3 linked regions of the Rattus norvegicus genome follow. The protein of the gene in region 1 binds, or shares a complex with, the protein of each later gene. Links are inferred from orthologs where the notes say so. Each region holds a gene or a part of one and is shown on either strand. Other genes may lie near its edges. The genes, in order: Syt1, Sv2a and Cplx1.

Evidence for each region.
Region 2: the proteins of Syt1 (region 1) and Sv2a are in contact, whole or in part, in a crystal structure (PDB 4V11), measured with the Homo sapiens proteins. The link is inferred for Rattus norvegicus from reciprocal best matches to the Homo sapiens genes SYT1 and SV2A. Residues at the interface, in NP_001129277.1 of Homo sapiens: Thr291, Lys314, Lys326, Lys327, Lys328, Glu342, Ser343, Phe344, Ser345; in NP_001315603.1 of Homo sapiens: Asp82, Thr84, Glu85, Gly86, His87, Asp88.
Region 3: the proteins of Syt1 (region 1) and Cplx1 are in contact, whole or in part, in a crystal structure (PDB 5W5C), measured with the Rattus norvegicus proteins. Residues at the interface, in NP_001028852.2 of Rattus norvegicus: Glu271, Thr383, Gly384, Glu386, Thr406, Leu407, Gln408, Glu412, Met416; in NP_074055.1 of Rattus norvegicus: Val61, Met62, Gly65, Asp68, Lys69, Tyr70, Lys74.

What each region holds. Positions count from the first base shown.
Region 1 is NC_086025.1:45,705,594-45,709,240, reverse strand, and holds part of Syt1 (synaptotagmin-1), read left to right. Parts: intron 1-3,153; coding exon 3,154-3,287; intron 3,288-3,647. UniProt on the Homo sapiens protein: Calcium sensor that participates in triggering neurotransmitter release at the synapse. May have a regulatory role in the membrane interactions during trafficking of synaptic vesicles at the active zone of the synapse.
Region 2 is NC_086020.1:186,443,469-186,446,765, reverse strand, and holds the end of Sv2a (synaptic vesicle glycoprotein 2A), read right to left. Parts: intron 2,917-3,297; coding exon 2,757-2,916; intron 2,367-2,756; coding exon 2,183-2,366; 3' UTR 605-2,182; downstream 1-604. UniProt on the Homo sapiens protein: Plays a role in the control of regulated secretion in neural and endocrine cells, enhancing selectively low-frequency neurotransmission.
Region 3 is NC_086032.1:1,327,670-1,331,943, forward strand, and holds the start of Cplx1 (complexin-1), read left to right. Parts: upstream 1-1,403; 5' UTR 1,404-1,520; intron 1,521-2,792; 5' UTR 2,793-2,864; coding exon 2,865-2,895; intron 2,896-4,274. UniProt on the Homo sapiens protein: Positively regulates a late step in exocytosis of various cytoplasmic vesicles, such as synaptic vesicles and other secretory vesicles.

The sequences.
Region 1 (3,647 bases):
TGACCCAGACTACCAAGTCCTGCAGCAGAGTCCTTCTTTATATTCTGCGTGTGTGTGTGTGTGTGTGTGTGTGTGTGTGTGTTCGTCACTTGTGAGTACAGGAACAGCTGCACCATGACGCACATGTGCACATCAGAGGACAGCTCTGTATGTTACTTCTCTCACTCTATCTTTCTGTGGTTCTAGGATTAGGATCCAGGTCATCGGGTCCTGATGCTGGCCCTCAGTCTTTTTTGTTTAAGTAGCAGCCAGACATTAGAAATCATTAGAAATTAGAGATCAGGCAAAAAGATCTTTACTCCAAAGTTTTAAAAGAAACACTAGTATTCTTAAATACAAATTAGATAAATGAAGGGCGTGGTCTATCCTGTGCTTCTTTGGGAGGCAGCAGGGATATGAGATGGTGCTGAAGAAAGGTTATCAGTATTCAGAAGAGGGAGATAACCATGAGTGCTTGCTGCTGGCAACTGGAGGGACCCACAAGCCACAGGGACAGAGAGTGCCTGACGGGGTAGCCCAGTCTCAGTGCTTGCATAATTCCCCAAACTGTACATGTTTCCAAAACCCCAAAGGATGTTCCAACACCATGCCTAGTGTCTAGCTGCAGAGCTCGGGGAAAGCCACATTACTAAGTCTCATTATAGCCTATTGTATCATTTCCGTACAATTGCATCTTATGACACAAGTGCCAGGAATTTTAAGCCACCAAGACTCTGGGAGCTAACAGGGATTTGCTTTGCTTTACGGATAGCCCCTAAAACAGAACTAACAGTAACCATTCAGAGGCCTGCTTTTTGGGAGAGGTGATTTTTGCTTAAAAAGAAAAAAAATCTGTGTGTCCTCAAAGCATAGGTATGACTCACCACATGGCTGTCTTCCTATTTAGAGGTCGCAGCAAGGAGTCAGAGAACCAAACAAGGCTGAATCTCACAGAACTCACTGATGGGATAAGGGAGGGATTGGACCCACCTGCAGAGCAACCAGAATTCAAGACCAGACTCTGAGGAAAACAGAGGATACTTGAAAATCAGGGCAGCCAAGGAGTAGATGGAAGTGGGAAAGACTGGAGAAAACAAAGAAGCCAGACTTCAGATTGTAGGACCAAAAAAAAGATCTCTTGACTGAGCGAAGCACTGAAGGGAAAAATCCCCAATCTACATACATGCAAATGTGTAGCTTTAAGCACAAATAAGAAGACAGGACTAAGAGAAAGAACCTACCTCATGAGGCCTACACGACCTCCTACTTGTTCATTCAACAGTCAAAGAGAAAACCACGGGGGGCGGGAGGGGGTGCAGCTGGGTGGCAGAATAAATCCATAGCACGTACAAGCACCCCCCCAAATTTTATTATGCATCAGATTGTTTCAGTAAAATAGAGTGGTGAATATATGTAGCAGATATAGTTTCTGTCCTTTCAGGAGTTATATTCTACTGTGGAACAGAGAGAGGTAGATAAAAACAACCTTTTCATCTGCAACTTTCTAAAACTGTGCGGGCTTTAGATTGCTGTAATATTTCTCCCACTTCAAGCTCTAAAAGGCAAGAGAAAAAAATCTGAAAGGCTTAGCAGTAGTTATCTTAGATGATACTAATTTTTTTCTTTTTATCATTGCCTTCTGGTATTTTTCTATAATGAACTTGCATTATATATGAAATGGATTTTGCTTAAGAAAAACAGCAGAGAGGTTTTTTTTTTTTTTTATTCCTTTCAAAAGTCATGGTTTCTTGCAAAGTAAAGGTATGCCATTCGCCCATTAGTAATGAAAGCTCTAAGAGAGTGTTGCCTCTCCCCTCCAGGGTCTGGTGTATTATGTTAGTTACCTTTCCCCAATGAGGCTTAAGGGAAAATGCTCTGAAAATCCTTTTCTCTTTCCCTCCATGGGTATCAGCCTCTCCCTTATTCCCTGCACACCCTTGAAGGAAGCTATTGCAACCTATGAAGACTCAGTATGATCTCTCCGTGTCTGTCTGTCTCTCTCTCACCCTTTCCCTCAAACACACATACACAGAGAGATGCACAGACACACAAGGAGAGAGACACACTGTACATACAGACACAATGTACACACACACACACACACACACACACACACACACAGGAGAGAGAGAGAGCTCCAGTGTGAGCAATCAATCATGATCACTGACTTCTCTTCCTCAGCCCTCCCATTTCAGCGCCCCCAAACAGAGATGTCTTCTGTGTAGTTAGAGTCGTCCTATCCCTGCTGCACCCCACACTCTACCATCGCTGCCATTTTCCCAAAGATCTTGACTCGGCTCCTCCCTTGCACTGTGCTCATCAGCTTCTAACTTCACAGAAGTCTCCTTTCTCTAAAAGCTTAGTACCTATTACCCCACATTCTGAGATCCCATCACGGAAACAGAGACCTGCTGTGCTCAGTGCTGCCCCTATCGGTGATCAGAGGACCCAACACATATTGGCCACTCCAGTGTTGGCTGTGTAAGTGAATAAACAGTGAATGAAGCGGTCCCTTTGTCCTCTCCCTGTCAAGGTTTAGTCCCATGCACTAGCAAGCTATGGCCAAGCCAGCTCACAAAATTTAGCCAGTTGCTAAATCCCCACAGACTTTACAAGCCAGTTGTTAGTCCGTTTGTGGCTTAAAATGGGCCATGGTGAGTACACTTGTACCACAGAAATCTGCAAACGCTGCATGTCAGGACAGTTCCCCCTCAAAGAGCTGTTTCCCAGCATGCTCCGGTTCTTCCCTTCCAAATGTAACTCGGAAATTCGGCTAACATGACAATAAGCCTGCCCCAGAGCCTTCTTAAAAGCCTCTCAATAAAAGATGCTTGACGTTTTACAACAGATTACATAGAAGCTATGTAATCACTTACCTGTTGGGGTTCAGTCCTTGTCTGAGCTAATGTATGATCTAAAACATGTGGCTCTGGATGACAAAAAAGGTACAGACAATGAAAGTTCCTGCTGTCAGACCTAATGACCTGAGTCTGATTCCTAGGGTCCACTCAGTAGATGAAGAAGACAGACTTCCACACGGCTGTCCTTTGACCTCCATGCATGTATGCAGTGTGGTGTGCATACCACCACACACACAGTAAATCGTACTAGAATGTTTCAGATAAAACAAAAATCCACGCCTGAGCTTCTAGAGTTCCTGTGTCTGTCTTTCAGATCCCTACGTGAAGATTCACCTGATGCAGAACGGTAAGAGGCTGAAGAAGAAAAAGACGACGATTAAGAAGAACACACTCAACCCCTACTACAACGAGTCCTTCAGCTTTGAAGTTCCGTTCGAGCAAATCCAGGTATGGTCTGACATGAGTGTGTCCCTCTACCCAGTCGCAGGCCTTCAGATCCCATAAATGACCCTGTGAGTCACCAGGGCTCTGCCCATGCCCGTTCATGCGGTGCCTGAGCCCCACCAAGCAGGACATGACAGACACACAGCCGTGAGAAGGGCTGGCTCTTCAGCTGGTACAGCAAGCTGCCTTCTGCTGAGCAGAGGGAACGTAGAAAACAGAAAACCATCAGAACCACTTTGCTAGGTCATTAAGTTTGTCTATGGAATCCGAAACCTAAGGGAGAACAAACCTGCCTATTCATTCCCAGGCCACAATAAGAAATCCACTTCTGTAGGGAAAAAATAGCCAGTGTCCCTTCTCACG
Region 2 (3,297 bases), on another chromosome or scaffold:
ACTAGTGAGACCCTCAAAACAAACAAACAAAAAAACAAACAACAACAACAAAAAAAAAACAGCAATGCAGCTTGATTAAAGCGATGGAGTTGAGACAGGGTAATCAAGGGCAAGCTGCAGGCAGTAGGAATTCCCAAAAGGCATTGCTTTAAACTGGGGTCCAGAGAGGTGGTATCGAATTTATAAGCACTTTCTGTTCTCCAGGGGATCCAGGTTTGATTCCCAGCACCCACTTGGTGACTCACAAGGGCCTGTAGCTCCAGTTGCAGAGGATCTAATGCCCTCTTCTGGCCTTGATGGGTACCAGGCACATGTGGTGCCTACATCCATATGCAGGCAAAATGCTCATGCAAATAAAATATATGTTTATGTTGCTTTTTGCAAGAGTAACAAGGGCTATTAACCCACTAGAACCAGCATAAGTAAATGCTTTTTAAACAAAATGTAGATTTGAGGTACCCCATTCCATAAGTCCATGGTAAGAGAGGGGGCTTGCTTATTTTGGCCCTGAAGAAGGAATCGTTTCTCCCACACAAGTTTGTCTTCCCCAGATGGTCAGGATGGCGAACTGTGAATGGAGAGGCCAGGACGCACACACAGCCGCTTTGAGTTTTAAGGGTTCAGACCCTTTATTTTTCAGCAGTATTTTTCATTTCATTTTTTCACATCAATGGAGTCAGGTTCAGGGCTCCCCGGGAGACAAACAAGTGGCTGTGTCTCCCCTGGGGACGTAAGGGAGAGGGCCACGTCCAGCAACGGAATGATGAGGGAAGGGGCACACACACACTGGGCACTGGAGGAGAAGGCAGTCCTTTGAGCACAGACACGATTAAACAGTCACCACCTGGTTCAGTGTTACAAAATCGGAATGGCCTTAGGGTTGAGGGCACCAGACACAGCATAAGGAGGGTGAATTTGGATTTTTTTTTTTTTTAGTTTAACTTCCTTTTAACTTTTTTTTTTTTTTAACATTTTACAAACAGCTAAAAACTACAACACGTCACAGCTACGGTGGGAGTGGGAAGAGTACCAAAGAAAGCAGCCACAAGAGTAGGGTAGGACGGGGGGCAGCTCTACCTACAGAGGCTGTTCTGTGGAAGGGCAAGATGGGGAAACTGAGGCTTCAGGTCCCTGCATTAGGGGTCCCTCACGACCCAGCCTTTTTGAGAAGGGTTAGGGGATGGACCCCTGCTTCCTGCCCCTGCCCCAGCTTCTTGTGCTTTCAGACCTGCTGGTTTGACCATGTGTGCCTGGTTATTTTCCCTTTCTTTCCTCTGATACACTGCCTGTGTGGACAGGTCAGATGGGAGGGCTGTGGCTAGTGGGTAGAACCTCTCTAGAGGAAGGAGAAAGTCCTTGTCAGGTGCCCTCAGGTCCCCCAAGATTGCAGGGCTCACCCCAGCCTGACCAAGGACTTCTGCCTGCAGCCCCAACACAGGTACAAGATTCTGGGAGTTACGATAGAAAAACAGTGTTGTGTGTGTGCTCACTGAAACTACTACTCTTGGCTTATAATTGAACAGTATAGTGGTACCCCTACCCCATGGCACACATACACACACGCACACGCACGCGCGCACACACACACACATATGAGTGTATGTATACATCCACACACAGTCCAGCTAAGCTGCCTCAGAACTTACATATAAATAAGAATCAGAAAACTAATTCCATAAAATCCAGGCTTCACACTTGTAGCCTGAATTGAGGTGAAAACGGAGGCTAAGGTTTATTGCTACTCCCCAGCATCCTTGGGAGGCTCCCACTCAAGAAGTTCTTTTGGTCCAAGCCTCAGCCCCCACTATAACTCCATACCTGTGGTTCACCAGGGCCTAGGCGGAGGGAATGATGGGAAAGGCAGAAATTCTGGAACACCTGGAGCAGAGAAACAGTCGTCCCCACCCCTGCTAACACTGAGGGAGAGAAGGATGCAGCTCAGCCTTCTCCTTGTGCAAAGTTGAGGGTGGCAGCAGGTGGGGAGTCCCTCCTCCCAAACATGGGACAAAGGGACCCTCCCCGTAGCCCCTGCCCGTCAGGGTCACACACATGCACACAGGCACACAGCTAAGACACCAAACACGGAGTAGGACCAGGACAGCAGGGCAGGGTAGGGATAAAAGAAATTATTGGTCACAGTGTGCCTGCCATCCCTAAAGCCCCTGAGACACTCCCCCATCCCTCACTGCAGCACCTGTCCCCGGGTCTCAGGCAGCTTCAGAGCCAGAGAGCTACCAAGGGCAAGCGCAGCTGAGGCGAAGAGGATGGGAGCGGCCTTGGTGATTCCCACAAAGGACGTGAAGATGCTGATGCCCAGTACAGCTGCCAGCTTACACAGGGCATTCAGGAAGCCGAAGGCCGTCGTCCTGCTCAGGGCCAAGCCACGTGGCCGTCGGGGTCCAGCGGAAGGGAGAAGGGCAGGTGGGAAGGCAGAGTGGGGTAAGACAAAAGCAGTGTGCAGGAGCGGGAAGGGAGGATGGAGTAGGGACGGAGGGGGTGGGGCATACAGACACATTGGGAGACAGGAGAGAAAAGAGACAGAAGCAGAGGTTAGTAATTAGCAGTTAGGAGCCAAGACAAGAGCTCCCAACTGTTAAGGAAAAGCTCAGCAGGGATGTCTGTCCTACCCCTAACAACACCCTTATCCCTCACGAGATTCTTATCCCTAACGATATTCTTTCAGTCCTCCTCCTCATTTCGCCCCAGTCCTGTAGCTCCCAAACCTTCTCCCCTGCCCCTGCCGCACTCCAAACTACCTCTTGTCGGAAGGGTAGAGTTCAACAGTCAGCACGTCCAGCGCGTTCCAGGATGCAATACTGACTCCCCCAAAAAGGCAGAGCAGAGCGATCATGGCTGACTCACTGTTCCCAAAAGACAGGAAGAAGCAGGAAACACAGGACAACACACTGGAACCAGCTGGAGCCAGGAGAAGAGACAGCCGTGAAACCCAGTCGTGGCCCAGCTTACTACCAGCTAGCTTTGAGACCACCCCAGATAATGTTTCCCAGGGTAGCCAAAAGGAAGGCTTTTCACGTGTCCTCAACCCCTGTGTTGATTAATAACCCCTTTCAGTAGCAGCCATTTATTCAATACCAACTATGAACTAAGTAAGTCACGGGATGTTTTCTATGGACCTGTCTGAGACCAGCCTTCTGAGAGTGGTGCTGTGATTGCAGGTGAAGGCTAACAGGGTGTAACCAGTCCAAGGTGGAGCTGAACCCCAAATCTATAACCTCAAAGTCTATACCCTAATTGCCTACCATCCTATTTCTTTAATCCCTAGAGTAACTTCTATAC
Region 3 (4,274 bases), on another chromosome or scaffold:
AGGCCCTGGGTTCGGTCCCCAGCTCTGAAAAAAAAAAAAAGAAGAAGAGAAGTGGCTTGCTGTGGCCCTTGCTTTTTTGCTAGCTACCATAGACTCCTAAAACACAGAATGAGTCAGACTGGGCACATCTGTGTACAGGTGACCCCATTCCACGGGGCATCAGTCCTGGGCCTGAACAAGGCTTGGGGCATCAACCAACCTTACCAGAAGTGTGATGGGTGAACTGAGATGGATGGTGTCAATAGGAATGGCACTGGGAGACTCTTCTGTGTATGGTGTGAGTCATGTCCAACTTTCTGAATGATCCCCTCTCCTAGGCATAAACCTGGGTACAGTGCAGGCACTTCACCAGTGGGATCAGACTGTATCCCTAACTACAAGGCTCCAGGCTGAAGTCAGGGCTAGAAGATGGGGGACTTCTCTTCCTGTCTCCACTCCAGCTCCCTTCCTGGTCTCTTCTACTTTGAATCTGCCAGGTCAAAGGAACAAAAACTGATAAAAGCAAGTCTACGATGGACTCCATACCCTCCCTCAGCCCCTCGAATTCAAGCCACCAAGCACCCTGGGGCAGCTTTGGGATGTTAGTGAAGGAGGAATACTCATTAGGCAAGAAGTTTCACTGAATTGGGTGAAGGTCAAGATCTACCTAATCCGGAGGAATGACTCAGCCAGGAGGAACAGTAACAGTTAATGCAATGACCATCAGCACAAGACCCTGCGGGTCAGGAAATACCTCTGGCTACCCAGAATCAAAAAACAGCTTAGGTGTCCCCATATGCTCTGACTTCTGCGAAGCTGATTGCCTCACAGAAGCCCCCGCCCGCCCCCCAGGACAAGTACAGGGATGCCAGGCCAACCTTGTGGCCACCGGGTTCTTCTGCAGTGCAGCCGCAGCAGAGTTGAAATCCCGTTGCCGGGGAAGGGGCGGCCTAGAGGCGGGGCTGTGGCTGTCTCCGAGGAGCCCCTGCCCAGCCATGTCCGCAGTGACCTTCAGGCGTCCCTGACTGGCTGGGGTTCCTATCCCACCAAAGCCACATTTGGCGGTTCTGCACACCGGAGAAGGTTGGATGTGTGGGCTTATCTTGCAGGATCGGGGGTCTCGGGCGGTGCTCGCCTCTTCCCGCCCTGCCAGCAAAGGAGCAAAGCAACCGGGTCAAGAGCAAACGTGGTGGGTAGATGAGGGATGGCGACCCCAGCCCTGCGTTCTCCCTGCGTTTCTGGAGGGCGCTTCAGGAGGAATTCAGGAGGGTCTCCAAGCCGGTATGAAGAGAGTGGCCCAGGCCAAGGAGGGGCCCCTATGCAGCTGTCGCGCGAGCCAGGCCAGAATCTGGGAACCGGGGGCGCGGCTACCCCCCCATCTCCGCCGCGCCCCGCCCTCCTCGTCATGCGGGACGCGGGCGGGGGCGCTTCTGAGTGACGCGCCCTCCTCGCGGTGTCCTTCAGCCGCCGCAGCAGCACAGAGCGCCACATGGACCCCGCCGGCCTGAGAGCGCGCTGCTGTTGATCGTTCACCTTGGAAGGTAACTAGCGCCCTAGCAGCCAGTCCGACCTCAACCGGCTCCCACCTTTCCCCTTCCCAGCTCAGTCTTCCTCCCGACTCCGGGGCTTCCCTTCCCGGATCCCCGCTTTCTAGCCATGGGTCTCCTACCCTTGGTTCCCCTACTCTTGGTTCCTTGCCTTTCAGACCCAAGGTTGATCAGCCCGGAAGGCGCTGTCCGTCTCAAGGTGCTGAAGCGGCCCTTGATTCCCTTTCCCATCGGCATTTTTTTTTTTTTTTTTTTTTCCTTTCTTTCTTTCTTCTCTCCCTGGCGCGCTTCTGCCTGAGGCCGTGCTCCGGTCGGGCACCTCGCCCAGCAAAGCAAAGGGTGCGGCGGCCACGAAAGAACAGGATGCCTTGGTCTTTGCGGAATCTCCTCCGCAGCGACCGAGCTTCTCCAAGCCTGGCCCTGCGGAGCCCCCATCCCCCGATTACCCCGAGACAGAGAGAAGTTTAGAAGGCAACTGGCTTTGCTGCAAAGGCATCCCTGAACCCCTAGCTTCTGGGACACTCTCACTGCCTGGCACCCCTTCGGGTCTCATTCCGCAGAGGGAAACCTGTGAAATACTGGATCCCTAGGGACCAGGTTCCCTGTCAGGAAAGACCCTACAAAAAGGGATGTCTTTGCAGCTGTTGGCATTACAAAAAACACCTTTCTAAACGCTGCTGGGCATTCTGGCTTGGGTCGCCCTACCTCATGCAGAGACAATGTGGATCAGCTGTTTCCCCTCCTAGTGGAAGACCCGGACACTGTCATCTCCCTCCCGGGCCAGTACTGCTGCGGGCCTCCAGAGTCTCCCTACAGACAAATATAGTTGAGACTAGTCAGAAGTCATAAGGACCTTTCCTGAGGGGCAACATTCATGGACTTGTCTCTCCAATTCTTCCCCAGAGGGACCCTTGCCCCACAGCTCCAAAACTGCCAAGGAGGTTGAGCAGCCAGAATCTGGGTGCTACAAGCAGAGCATTGACCTTCAAATGCCCCCTGGGCCCCACCCCCACTTGAGGAGGCTGGCACCAGTCTCCAGTAACTGGTGGCCCCAAGTTGTGAGCTGCAGTGGCAGTTAAAAGCTTCCTTCAGAAACCCCAGAAGCAGCAAGATGACTGTTGGTTTGGCTGGGCTCTGAACCCTGCCGTCCTGGTCTGGGTGTGGGAACAAAGCCTCTCGCACTGGACTCTCAGGATAGTGGAGAGGTGTAGATGAGGGTCTTGGGAAGAGTCCGTCAGGGTACCTATGACCACCTACTCTCTCTAGGCAGAGGACTCCAACCACACTTGAATGTGAAATCTGACCCCGGAGTGTCTCCTGAGGAACCAAGCCATCATCATGGAGTTCGTGATGAAACAAGCCCTGGGAGGTAGGAGGTGGGCAGGGAGGAGGACATGGGTTTGGGCCACCAGGGATACACAGACATCTGATACTCAAGAGAGACATGTCTCTACCACTGCAGTGACATGGAGACACATGGCTGCATGACCACTTCTGACCTCACTCACTGCCTCTGCAGGTAGTTGCAGATTTAATATGAGATATGGGGAGAATGTGCTGTGTAAGATGGCCCTATGCCCCCGTGCCATGGCGCAGTAGAACGCACTGGTCATCCCAAGACGAGTCAAGAACTGAGCAGCATTGATCAATGCAGATACCCCGGCGAGGCTTGTGAGCAGCTCTCGTTGTGTCAGTCCTGGGAACAAACCATGCACCAGGATTGCGTTAGGAAACAGGATCTGGGTGATCCCAACTGTGGCATTGAGCTCTATGGGTTTCACCCGGGTAAGAGACAGTACTATTTACAAGGACAAGAAAGGATAACTATGTAATCAAGTCCACTTCTACAGAGAAAACATAGCCCCTTTATGTCGTTGAGTGAGGGCAGCCTCCTTACTCACTCACTGTTTGAAGAGAGTCCTGTCCCCACTTGGCCCAAAGCCATCTTTGTAGCTAGCAACAGTAGGTCTAGAAACTGGTAGAGGACAGTGGAATGAGTTCTTGGCCAGGAGGTGCTGAAACAGTGAGCTAAAAGGTTTGGTACCCGTTTGGCCAGAATGGGTTTCAACAGAGCAGTTTAGTCAGCTCAAGCCTGTAGGATTTGAGATTGCCCTAGGTGGACTTCATGCTTGTTCAAGCTACCTGCTCTAGGTACCCCAACACCCTTGTGTAGCCTCAGTGCTGAGAGCTCACACCAATTTTACTGCAGGGAGGCCCCTTGACTGGTGTGGGTCTCAGCTGGAATGTGTTAGGCATCCTTTGCTGTATGGAAAAGGGAAGGGGACCACTCACAGAGAGAAAGCTGGTTGGGGTCTTGGGGCCCAAAAGAGGAGAATCTGCCCAAATAGGCATCTCCCAGAGGGTGTCTGTGACTTCACTCGTATGTGATGAAAAGGAGACCCAGTGTGCTTGCTGAGTTCACGGCTGTGGTAGACTCAGGTTGAATCTAATTATAATGATTACATCACCGGGACAGGATTCAGAGGCAAGCCAGCATCCTGTATCAGAAGAGACCCGTGTTATACCCAGAAAGTCCCAGGCTGCTACAGACAATTAATTTGGTGGCTAATTCAGGCCCTGAGGTGGGCTTTTAAAGAAACTGAAATCTCTGATTTGGCTGTCTACGTAGCTGAAATTAGCTGGGTAATTGCCAGCCTGGATTCCCTCATTGTTCCATGTCAGCCCAAAGTTTCTCCTGCACCAGCAATGGGGCGTGCTTCTTGGGGTGCTGTGAAAGCTGCTGGGGCG